Linked DNA regions of Caenorhabditis elegans. The protein of the gene in region 2 interacts with the protein of the main gene of each other region in a pairwise test. Each region holds a gene or a part of one and is shown on either strand. Other genes may lie near its edges.

The links.
Region 1: the proteins of uev-3 (region 2) and pmk-3 interact in a two-hybrid assay, tested with the Caenorhabditis elegans proteins (one study listed by BioGRID).

What each region holds. Positions count from the first base shown.
Region 1 is NC_003282.8:8,137,247-8,143,759, reverse strand, and holds pmk-3 (Mitogen-activated protein kinase pmk-3), read right to left. Parts: upstream 4,542-6,513; 5' UTR 4,458-4,541; intron 3,515-4,457; coding exon 3,263-3,514; intron 2,780-3,262; coding exon 2,634-2,779; intron 2,584-2,633; coding exon 2,499-2,583; intron 2,201-2,498; coding exon 2,091-2,200; intron 2,046-2,090; coding exon 1,898-2,045; intron 1,725-1,897; coding exon 1,118-1,724; intron 1,037-1,117; coding exon 960-1,036; 3' UTR 609-959; downstream 1-608. Other genes in the region: Mitogen-activated protein kinase pmk-2, read right to left, coding at 145-249; islo-1 (Interactor with SLO-1), read right to left, coding at 4,836-5,136, 5,188-5,318, 5,673-5,988, 6,195-6,399. UniProt on the Caenorhabditis elegans protein: Responds to activation by environmental stress and pro-inflammatory cytokines by phosphorylating downstream targets. Involved in axon regeneration after injury, probably downstream of dlk-1 and mkk-4 and upstream of mak-2. May phosphorylate mak-2.
Region 2 is NC_003279.8:9,308,222-9,313,241, reverse strand, and holds uev-3 (Ubiquitin-conjugating enzyme E2 variant 3), read right to left. Parts: upstream 2,924-5,020; 5' UTR 2,914-2,923; coding exon 2,853-2,913; intron 2,489-2,852; coding exon 2,350-2,488; intron 2,303-2,349; coding exon 2,128-2,302; intron 1,868-2,127; coding exon 1,661-1,867; intron 1,266-1,660; coding exon 1,092-1,265; intron 1,039-1,091; coding exon 942-1,038; intron 856-941; coding exon 638-855; 3' UTR 605-637; downstream 1-604. Other genes in the region: F26H9.5 (putative phosphoserine aminotransferase), read left to right, coding at 1-473; rab-5 (small monomeric GTPase), read right to left, coding at 3,472-3,606, 3,807-4,118, 4,322-4,410, 4,707-4,797.

The DNA.
Region 1 (6,513 bases), on a different chromosome or scaffold from region 2:
TTTTCCAAAACTTTGACTAAAAATGATGAATAATCTAAAATTAACTCATTGGGTTTTTGTAATTTGCAAAATTTCTTTTAGCTCATTCTAGTATATTTAGACAATATTCACTACACTATAAAAAATCTTCTTCTGTAACTATACCTCATGATATCCTTCTGGAGTAATCTCAGGCGGGGCAGGACCAAAATCGGCAAAAAAGACACCGGGAATGCTGGCTGAATCGCCCATGGTCGCCGACATCCCCATCAACAAGACATCTAGAAAAAGTTTGAATTGAATTTGTAAATATAATTTTTACATTTTTGCACGAAAGTTTTAATATTTCGAAAAAGGGCAGACAATTGCCTACATAGGTATTCCAAAATAATAATTCAATCTTATTTCACATTTTTTAAATGTTTGAATTTTTCTGCTAATTGAATAAACGTTTTAAGCTGAAGTTCAGGATTAACTTTGTCAAGTCAAACTATGCTTTTTATATTAAAAAAATTCCAGAAATTTTCAGATAATCTCACTTTAAACATATAAGCTCGTGTAAAATATGAGTGACACGGATTAGAACCAATCTCTTTTTTATAAAACACTTCAAGCTTTTAAAACGAATTGTCAAAAGAAAATAAGTTTATTGAACTAATTAGTATGTGTAAGGGTGCAATGACAAGAATGACGAATATAAAAAAATATGATGGGATAAAAGCATGAGAGAAAAACGAGACAAAGAGATTCAGAGAAATGGAGAAGTAAAGAGAAAGAGAGAAGGAGACAGAGACATAAAAGGAAGAAGCTATAGAATGCAAGAAAATAAATACTCTGAAAGAATTTGAAAGAGAAGATGGAAAACATCATTATCACCTGTAAAGTGTTGCTATCACTGAACGACAAAGAGACGAGAAAGAGAGAGGGAAAAGAAGTAATACATTTCCGGAATTATATACAATTAATATAATTGAATGAAATCAGCGATCTGCTTCTCCAGGGATTAACGGTGATGAGCTGAGTCTTTTGTAGTTCATTATTTCCTTCCAGACGGCATCTGTAATAAAATATTTTTGCATTTGTTGTTTTTCAAATTTGCAGGTGTGCAGAATTCTATTACGTGATCTTTGAGCCTTACCTCTCCACTCGAATCTTGTTCTAGCTTGAGAGTCATCCAAGTCAAATATATGATCAGCTCTTGGTTCATCTTCTGGAAGTGAAAACTCTGCCAAATATGGATGTTGAATAGCTTCTTCCACCGTAATCCTCTTCTCTGGATCCAAAACTAAAAGCTTCTCAAGTAGATCAATAAAGTCTTCTGATGGATTATGAGCAGAAAATACATCACGGAAATTTCGACGTTTGTGAGTTGTGTAGGATTGAATTACGGCTTTAATTGCAGACGAGTTATCATTTTCAATCTTTGTCAAAAGTTCTTCATCAGGACTTCCACATAATTGAGTAATACGTTGATATTGAGCATTGGGCTCATCACCCGGAAACAGTGGTTCTCCAGTTAAAAGTTCTGCAGCAATACATCCAAGTGACCACATATCTGCCAGATTTGTGTAACTATCAATCTTCCAATAAATGACTTCTGGACTACGGTACCATCTTGTTTGTACATATTGTGTTAGAGAAGTATCTTTCTTTTCCAAGGATCTTGCAAGTCCAAAATCGAGAATCATGAGGTCAGAATCATCGGTCAACGCGAGATTTCCTGGTTTCAAGTCACGATGTATAATCTAAAAAATTTTAATAAATATATTTTCGTGTTTTAGTCATGTTCTTTTTGACTAATTATGGCCTAATCGTGCCTAATCCTCCTATATGAAATTTTATTTAATCTAAAATGCTGATATTTCTATTAAAAAAAAAAGAATGAGCAATGTTCTGTTCACTAACTCCATTGACTTACATTAGCAGAATGAATGTACTTAAGTGCACGTATGATTTGATAAATGATGAATTTGATATGCTCGTCGGTCAGCACGCGCCGTCCATAATCTCTTTGTTGCTTCAAGATCTGATAAAGACTACGACCCGCAAATTCAGTGACAACGTATCTGAAAATTATAGATTGTTTGTAAAACTTTTTTGTAATTACTTACACATCTCGAAAATCGTTTTCCTCGTCAGGTGTGTAGATGTCAAGAGCACAGATGATATTGTCATGTCTCATTAATTGAAGAAGTTTTGTTTCACGGAAGATGCGACGAGCCTGGAAGTTTAAGGTGTTCAAAGGATGTGATCGACCAAATATATTCTCAAAAATGGGTATAAAAACCAAATATCAGCTTTTTGAAATGTTCTTCTAAAGTTTTGGCAATTTTCCAACAAAAAAAAAGACGAAAACAGAAAACAAGATTAGTTTTAAAATTCTGGTTTTGCCCCAAAATTTTGAATCACCACTTCTTGACTGTACATAGAAAAAGTTCGAAAATTTTTAATACGATATTAGTTCATTTGAATTGTAAAAAATATGCTCTAGCTTCAATAAAAATGTATCTTTGTCTTACATGATGTGGATCAAAGAACGGTTCTCGCATCTTCTTTATTGCAACATAACGACGAAGCCCGTCACGGCACACTGCACTTGTTTTTCTGGAAAATATAATCATTCAAATAAAGCACACAAATACTGAAAAACATACATAACATTTCCAAACGAGCCTCCACCCAAATACTCAATGCTGTTTGGCTCGACGTCATAGCCTTCCGGAATTGCAAATGTAATGTTACGGATCATCACAAATTGGAATCGTCGTTTGTGTGGACCACATGGTTTTGAGAGAATATCCTGAAAATATAATGATGATTAAGATTTTGGAATACCTATGGTTGCAATATTGTCAACAATGTTTATTTCTGTAAAGCTAAATTTCTGAGGCATTACATAGCCAGTTTCCTATTTGGTTTGGTCTCTAGTACACGTGCCAATTTTATCATTTGGAAATAAGACGGCGCAATAATTTTGTGTTGCAATTTTTGTAGAAAAAACTTCTCAAAAAATGAGCTATGCGTGCGCGGGGTTAGATTCTTCTGAAAATGTCAATTCTAGTCAATTCTACAAATATTAAGCTAGTTTTGAAACTTTGACAATTATAAAAAAATTAATTATGGAATGTTTTATTTCCATCCTTTTTAGAGTATTAAGGTCGATTTCTTAGATTAAAGTCATACTGAAGCTTTACCTTTATCATTTTTATGATTCTCCGCATATCAACAAAACGCGCGGATTGACTTTCGTCAACTTACGAAATCTAAAATCTTTCTCCCTCACCTCTTCCTCCTCCCCAACCATCTCGTTGTTTCCCGTTGCTTCGATACTCTGCTTCTTAATATTCTCTGCAGCTAACTTTTTCTGTTGTTCCTGCTCTCGTTGTTGTTGCAACCAGGTGTTGGGTTCGTAGCTTTCTGGAGGTTGAGATTGATTATTACTTCGTTTGGTTGGTGGTGCACTTGGTGTTGACACGTCTTCATGACGACGGACATGCGACACTGGGAGACTAGATGACGATGGGACTGACGCCATCTGTAAATTTAAATGGGTTCAAGTTAGGGCTTGAAGTGAAAAAATCAATAACGAAAAGCGTTGTCGGGGGAAATTAGAGGAGTGTCGGGGATTTCAAAATGAAAGTTTTATTGCGAAACACGCCATGTAAACTCGAACACTCAAGCGACCTATATTTTTGCGGAGTGAAGTGTAAAAATTGTGAAACAATGATTTTTTTATTGTTTATGGTCACTACTTTGTTTTCTTTTGGAGGTTTTCGGATTCACTATAACTTTAGGAAATTCGATATTTTAGAAAATATTAGGAATTTTGAATTTATCAACAAAAAAATCAACTCAATCAATGAAGATTAAATAGAAGAATTTCCCATAGTTTTGGCAATTACTAACAATATCTATTTACATTTGAACTGTTAGTAATTGTTCTCTCGCAATTTTTGTAACGCGTACTTAAAGACACATGGATATTTTTGAATTGGGTCTCAAAGAGTCAGATTTAAATGTTATTCGTTTTTGTCTATTTTTGTGAAATTTTCAAAATATTTTTTCATTAATTGTGGAATGGAGGGATCATAAAAAATTCTCAGAACTTTTTCTGATGGCGAGACCCATAAGAGGAATTATGCAAAAAAGGTGCAAAACTACCATGAAATTATGTAAAAGATTCGGGTGCTCAATCAATTGTAATTAATAAAATCGGTGAAATACTTGTGAGCTCAGTTAAATTGAGATGAGCACTACAGTTTGTTTTATATTTTCTTGTTTATTTACTGAGTAGCGTCTCTTTGAATTTCGTAAAAAAGTGTACAGTGTTTGTTCGAATATGAGCAATATTTAGGTTCAAACAAAGTTAATTATAAAGGGTAAATAATATATTTCATTTCAATTTTAAATTATCAGAAAATTCGTCTTTTGTTCAGCGCTCCACTATTATGAAGTTTACCAAAAACAAAATATCTCACCTGTTATTATAATAAAGTTGTAGACTAGACGTTCCTGTATTGATTGATTTTGAGTATATGTTATGATAAAAATACTGGAGAAAACTGAAAAAAGACGGAAGTATAATTATCAGTGACCAAGGAAATTGGAAGAAACAGTGAGGTCAATCAGATATGAGTCAGCAGCGATTGAGACGCAGTGAAAAATGGGAAACGAGAGGAAGACATACAAAGGGCGAAGGTCGAATTTTTTATTTGGTTGATGGAAAATATTATTGTAGATAAATATTTTAAAATATCTACAAATTATTCATCTCCTTTTCGGTTGATCTTTGTGGATACAGAATTTTGAAATTAAAAAAAAACAATATAAATCTGGTTAACATCATAAAACAATGTCTATATTTGACTATTTTCTCTCCTTCTTGATCTTCCTGATCCTTTGCTTCGATTGGAGTTAGTTCGATGTAAAGGTCCCATTGATTTGGATCTTTTTTGACTTGAAGCTTCACTTGATTGTCTTCTACTTGCAACTGACGGCTGCCTTGATCCTAACCGATTTTCCATTATTGAATTCGTGTCAAGGAATCCAGATTGATATCTTCCAACGCTTGTAGCTCTTAGGGTATTATATGGACTTGCTACAAAAATGTTATTCGGAGATCGTCTATGAAGGGAAAGTGTGGAACATCCAGGAATTCTGAAATTATAGATTTACAGAATCTTGTTCCGGTTTGAATGAAGTTCTTACACTGGTGGATACAGTTTCTTTTCATCGTGTGGCTTAACTACATTAGACATTGCGTGTCGATTCTCAAGAACTGGGTACGCAGGTGGAGGTAGAGGTTGATATGGATCTTTCTCAAAGATCGGAGGTAGCGGCTGTAAACGTGTAACAACTAAAATGGGTACATTTTGATTTTGAATTGATACGCATTATTACCTACATTCTTCGTTCTAGTGAACTGTATCTAAGCCTTGTAAGGTTTCAAACACATTGCTGTTTCGGTTAATTTGGCAATTTACCAAAACTATGCCATTTTCAGAAATCTAAAATGTTTTAATAGTTTTTTTTAAATTATGGTACGATCATTTTGAGTTTGTTTAGACGTTAATTTGTTAGCTTTAATTGTTTATATTACTTTCATGAAATTTTCAAAGGTGTAGTCGCAACTTTTACAAGGACATGTGGGTTTCTAATTGAATTTGAATTTTCAATTAATCAAAAAGACTTACCACATAATGTGTTGTAATAGTCGTAAGCCTAGCAGGATCATTGTGCTTCTTTGTGTGGTGTAACGAGAGATCACAGAGCTTTGTTGTGCATAAAAAGTAGATTAATGAAATTATCAAAAACGAACATCCGAGTCCAAATAAAATAGGACCCGCAATTTGAATTGGTGGTGGTCGTATTCTTTGTTCGTATGGCCAAGTCCAGAATGGTGAAGTATAAAGGTATTTATATCCAAGAAGTGACATTAGTAGTCCTCCAATTAGGAGAAAAACGCCGAATGCTGTACAACAAATCAATGATGACGAGCCACGAAATTTTCTTTAAAAAATAATGCTTTTTTCAGGGTTTTTTTTTAAATTTTTGATAAAGTAACTTGATGTATATTTTCTGCGTCTCTGTTGAATTTTCGCGTTGAATATGATGTATTAGGACATACTCCATTAAATTATAATCTACGAGTTATTTAGTTGAGCTATTCAACCCTCATATTTCCAGCTTACAGTTTCAATTATCAAAAAACTAACGATGTTCTATATGGAAAAAATCCAAATGTTGCTGGATACAATATATCCCATCCTTTTGGATAATAATAGAAATATGGATCACGTTGAGCCATTGGTCCAAAATGAAGAACTCTTTGATTTCCAGTCCATTGTTGAGGATCAATCTCACTTGCACCAGCTTGAACCATTTCGTCTTTCTTATCCTTTGCAGTTACGTGAAGCTTGTCTTTAATATTTCGAAAATATTTATGAGTTTTTAGAATCAAATTGACATGAAAACCCCTTATATTTAATACAACAACTCTATATTCTGTGCTACATTCAGTACATCGTGGTGAGA
Region 2 (5,020 bases):
ATCTTATCGGAAAGCAACAAGCAATCACTCCATCTGTCTTCAGTTATAAAGAAATGATTGCAAATAATAGTTTGTATAATACACCACCAACTGGAGGTATCTACACAACAAATCTCGTTCTCAAATGGATAAAATCAAAAGGTGGACTTCAAGCAATCTATGAGCTAAACCTTCAAAAATCTGGAATGATTTATGATATAATTGATAATTCAAATGGTTTTTATCACTGCGCCGTTGACAAACGCTACCGTAGTATTATGAATGTTTGCTTCCGAATTGGCGGTCCATCTGGAAACGATGAACTTGAGGAGAAGTTCTTGAAAGGATCTATTGAACGAAATATGATTAGTTTAAAGGGACATAGATCAGTTGGTGGAATCCGTGCATCGCTCTATAATGCCATCTCAGTCGAGGAGACACAAGTACTTGCCACGTGGATGAATGAGTTCCAGAAACTCCATAATACTAACTAGTCGGGAGACACTATATTTTTCTTGTATTCTTATTCTGAATTTGTCTGTGATTTTTAAAAACCTTCATGTGCCTTTTTGATTGTTTGTATTTGAATTTTTAAAGTGATTTTAAGAACCAATAAATAATGGTTAACATTTTTTGTTTATTTAAAAAAAACAGAAAACTATGAAATTCCAATGACATCAATGTCTTCATCAAGAAAATCTTGTCTTCTCCTTTTTTTTGTTTCAGCAAAAATTGTCTTGCGTCCGTTTATAGTTCCTCCGGCCATTTTCATTACAAATTCCCGGGCTGTACGCTCGAATTTCGGCCAATCCTCTTTAGCAAGCCGCGAGATATTCGGTTGTGACATATCTTCCAATTGAGCAAGATTTCTACGTTCTGGAAGAGTTCATAATTTAATTTTTTAGTTGATATTTAGATAGCCAAGTAGTTTAAAATGTCTTATAAATGTAGAAAGAATTTACCAATATCATATTTCACATTTCGCATTCCTTCCACAATAAAATTATATAAAACTTCCAAATTGGATCGTCGTTCCCATTGAATTCCACGCATGTCCCACTGAATAATTGCAAAAAATTTAAATGTTTTCAAAATTAGGTTTTTAAACTTACGTTTCCATATTTCCCAAGATTCGGATGAAATATAAATGTGTGAAAACAAACTCTTGGAATCAATGAATGATTTTGATATGGTTGGATGTTAATATCGGCAAAAAATGTTCCACCTTCATAGATACTTCCAACAGGTCCATCAATTATTACATGAAATAATAATTGTTTCGTTTCCTGAAAAGTTACTCAAATTTTTTAAAAACAGAAAGTCGACTCAGATTTGGCTAAAAAACTGTTTATTGCGAAAAATATAATGTTTACTGTTTCTTGTTATTTTTAGAGGTATTTTGCATAAATTTATAAGTACTCTCAAAATATTCTAAAAAAATTAAATATCATAGCCGAACTCTTAAAAATTAAAAAAAAAATAGAAATCGCATTAAAATTTTTTTGAAACTTTAAACTATGATATTTAGTAATTTTATCACTTAAAATTATTATTATTATTCTACAAAAAAATCCGAAAAAATAATTTTAAATTTGACATTTTCTTGTGGTGGAAAAGTCAGGCAATGTCAATCCATTTTGAATTTTTTTTTTTGAAATTTTCCAAAAACCATAAACCGTACGTCGATTCTCATTATGCATCCGTTGACTTTTTTTCCTTGTAAATGTCGACTTCTATTCATAAATTCGGTGATAATATCAATCTGGCAGAGGGATTTCTCGACTTTCTTCAATTTTTCGTAGTTTATTCCATCTCCAACTATGTCTATTATAGAATTTTTGTCGTTGTCCATTAATGTTACAGTTTCCTCTTCTTTTTTCTTTATTTCCTGTAAAAATAATTTTAATTAGGAGAAATATTTATATTTCTGACTTCAAGTGGGTTCTGATTTTTGGAGAGCAACAATTTTCAGTTTGATTTTTTTTGCAAAAAAATGTTAGGTCATTTCTCAATACTCTTTTAAAAAATATTTGTTTCATATTTTTCTCATTAAAATAATTTTTGAAAAAAATATCCAGATGCGTTTTTGGCTGATTTTTTCTCGTTAAAATCTAAAACAAATAAATAAATAATAATTTAAATAAAAACCTTCAAAATAACAGAAGGATCCACAAAATTTGTGCTTCGAAATGAAATGAGACCATTGACACGTTGAGATTCTTTGATAAGATCTTCTGTATTTATAAAATGTGGAATGCTAACGTTTAGACACTCCTCCCGATGATAATTATGAAGATCTTCAAGTGGAACATTCTTTGGAACTCTGAAAATGTTTTAAAAATTAAGAATGATTTTTTTAAATGTGACTACGTTTTTCGTGGTTGTGGTTCTCGATATTCTGGAAGTGGTTTTCTTTGTGGAACTTCTGATGGTCTTAGGAATGTAACCTCATTCCGTGGAGTTTCATCTGATGGTATTGCAATTGGACGGGCACGTCGACGTGTTGCAGCTGAAAATTAAAAATTCAAAGTTCCTACTAGAAAGTTTGATTTAAAAAGCTAAAATTGATGACAAAAATTACAGAACTATTTTCTTTGTGTTTTTTCACTACAGGCACGGTACCCGGTCTCGACACGACAAATTATTGTTAAATATAAAAAGGTGCGCGCCTTTAAAGAGTACTGTAGTTTCAAATAATTTTCCATACTTTTTCATTGCTTTTCGAAAAAAAAATCAGATACATATTTAAAAAATGAATGTAAAAATTTAAAAAAATTAAAAAATCTCAGATGATTTTGTATATTTTAAAGTAAATTTATTTAATTTTTAAATTTAACTTTCTTTTGAATTCAATTGATTTGAAAAGCATTTACTTTTTGTGGGCGTTGGTTCTGCTCGAAGAGGCGGTCTACTTGTTCCAGGTTGATCGGACATTTGTATTCTTCAAATAATTCTCACCTTGTTGTTTTTCAGAAAATTGAATTCAATATCTAATATCGATCGTATACGAAGGGTTTTGTGTTACCAAGTATATACATTTTCGAACTTCAATTTATTCGGATAGATTCTGAAAGGATGCTATAAAATTTTGAAAAAAAATTGACAAAAAGGTGGTGAAACTTTGACGAGAAAAGTACTAACAGTGGGATGGTGGGGTTCGGGACTTGGATGTTGATGGTGAGAAGCAATAAATAATTGGAACATTTGAATGAAAAAATGGGAGTTTTCGCATATAAAAAGCAAATGGGCAGAGCCAATTGTGCAAGCTCATTCACTGGCTGAACATTAGTCAGAAATATACAAAAAATGAGAAAATATGGGTTAAAAGAGTGAAAATAAATAAAGAAAGCGAGCACAAAAAACTTGTTCAAAAGTGTTTTTTTTTCGAGGGGAAAACAATGACGACGATCACAGGCGTTGGATTCAAAAGATATATAGAACAAAAGAGGAGCGGAGCTAGAAGGGTTGATGGTACATGAAAAAGTCGTCAATTTATTTACAGCATGAACCCTTTTGTTGCTGTTGTGGTTGGTTCATATCGACAGTTCCCGTTGGTTCACCCTGTGCTGGTCCGATTGGCAACTTTTTAGCTATTGCCATGAAAATATCGTTCACGTTCATTGAGGTCTGTAATTAAATAAATAGAGAATTGATTTTAAATTGGAAATCTTAAATTTCTCATTCATTTTTTAATGGAGATTAGTTCAAAAACTATCTTCGCAGAAAACAAAGTTTATTGTTATTTTTAATAACAATTTTAGTTTTTGATCTATTTCAGTACTCTGTTAACATGTTTTTATTGTCAAAATCCAAATTTTCTAATGTACCTTCGCAGATGTCTCCATGAACAAGAGAGCATTGTCCTCAGCATAAGCATTAGCTTCTTCATACTCAACAGTTCGCTTATTGGCAACATCAGCCTTGTTTCCAGCCAATGCCATCACAATATTTGGAGATGCCTGTCGCTGCAGTTCTTTTACCCAATTTTTCGCTTTTTGGAAAGATTCTTGATTGGTAATATCGTAGACAACAATAGCCGCTTGAGCTCCTCGATAGTACATTGGTGCCAATGAATGATATCTTTCTTGTCCTGCAGTATCCCAGATTTCGAATTTAATTGTTGCATCGTCAAGGCACACCTGAAATTTCGAAAATTCAATTCTTAATTATTAACGTTTTTACGTCTTTCAATATAAAATCCGTGTTTTTCGAGCAAAAATCTCCGCAATTATATTATTAAAAAACAATATATTATTAAAATTCGAGATTTTTCATTTTAGTCAAAATTTTTGTTCAAATTAGGGAAAATTGTTATATTTTCACAAAAAATTCAAAAACTCACAGTTTGAGTGAGGAACGCAGCACCTATAGTCGACTCCTGATACTCGTGAAATTGTCCCTTGACGAATCGCAATACGAGAGATGATTTGCCTGAAATGATAGTTTTCTGTGATGTTTAGGTGAAATAAGAGAGCATATACGTCATATGCTAGCAACTATCAGATGACCCATAATTCTAAACATATAAACAATCAAAAGACGAAGAATTAAACTTCGAAATCAACGCAATTTCGAAATTTTGTGACGGTTTTCAGCAACTGCGAAATATGCTACAGACAGAACGGAGTAGAATAAAAAAATCTTTATTTTTTGGAAAACTGTTCTTGTTTGCTTTTATTTTCTACTCCAACCTTTAGCGGTTTTTTCCATTTTCAGTATCAACTCACCTACAGCACTTTCTCCGAGAAGAACGAGTTTGAACTGGCACGTTCTGTTTGGACCTCCAGGCCGGGCGGTTCCTGCGTTTCGGGCGGCCATTTTCTAAATACAAATTTGTTGAATTTATTACATTAAAAATCGATCGAATAAATTACAAGCAAAAAATAAGCATAATTTCACATAGGAAACGATATGAGGGAGGATTCAGCTGAAAAAATATCAAAATGGTTTCAAAGAGAAATAATGTTGCATTTTTCTTTCCAGAAAGAACAAAAAAAATAATGTTCGACTAAAATTCTATATCTCAATTCTCATTGATAAA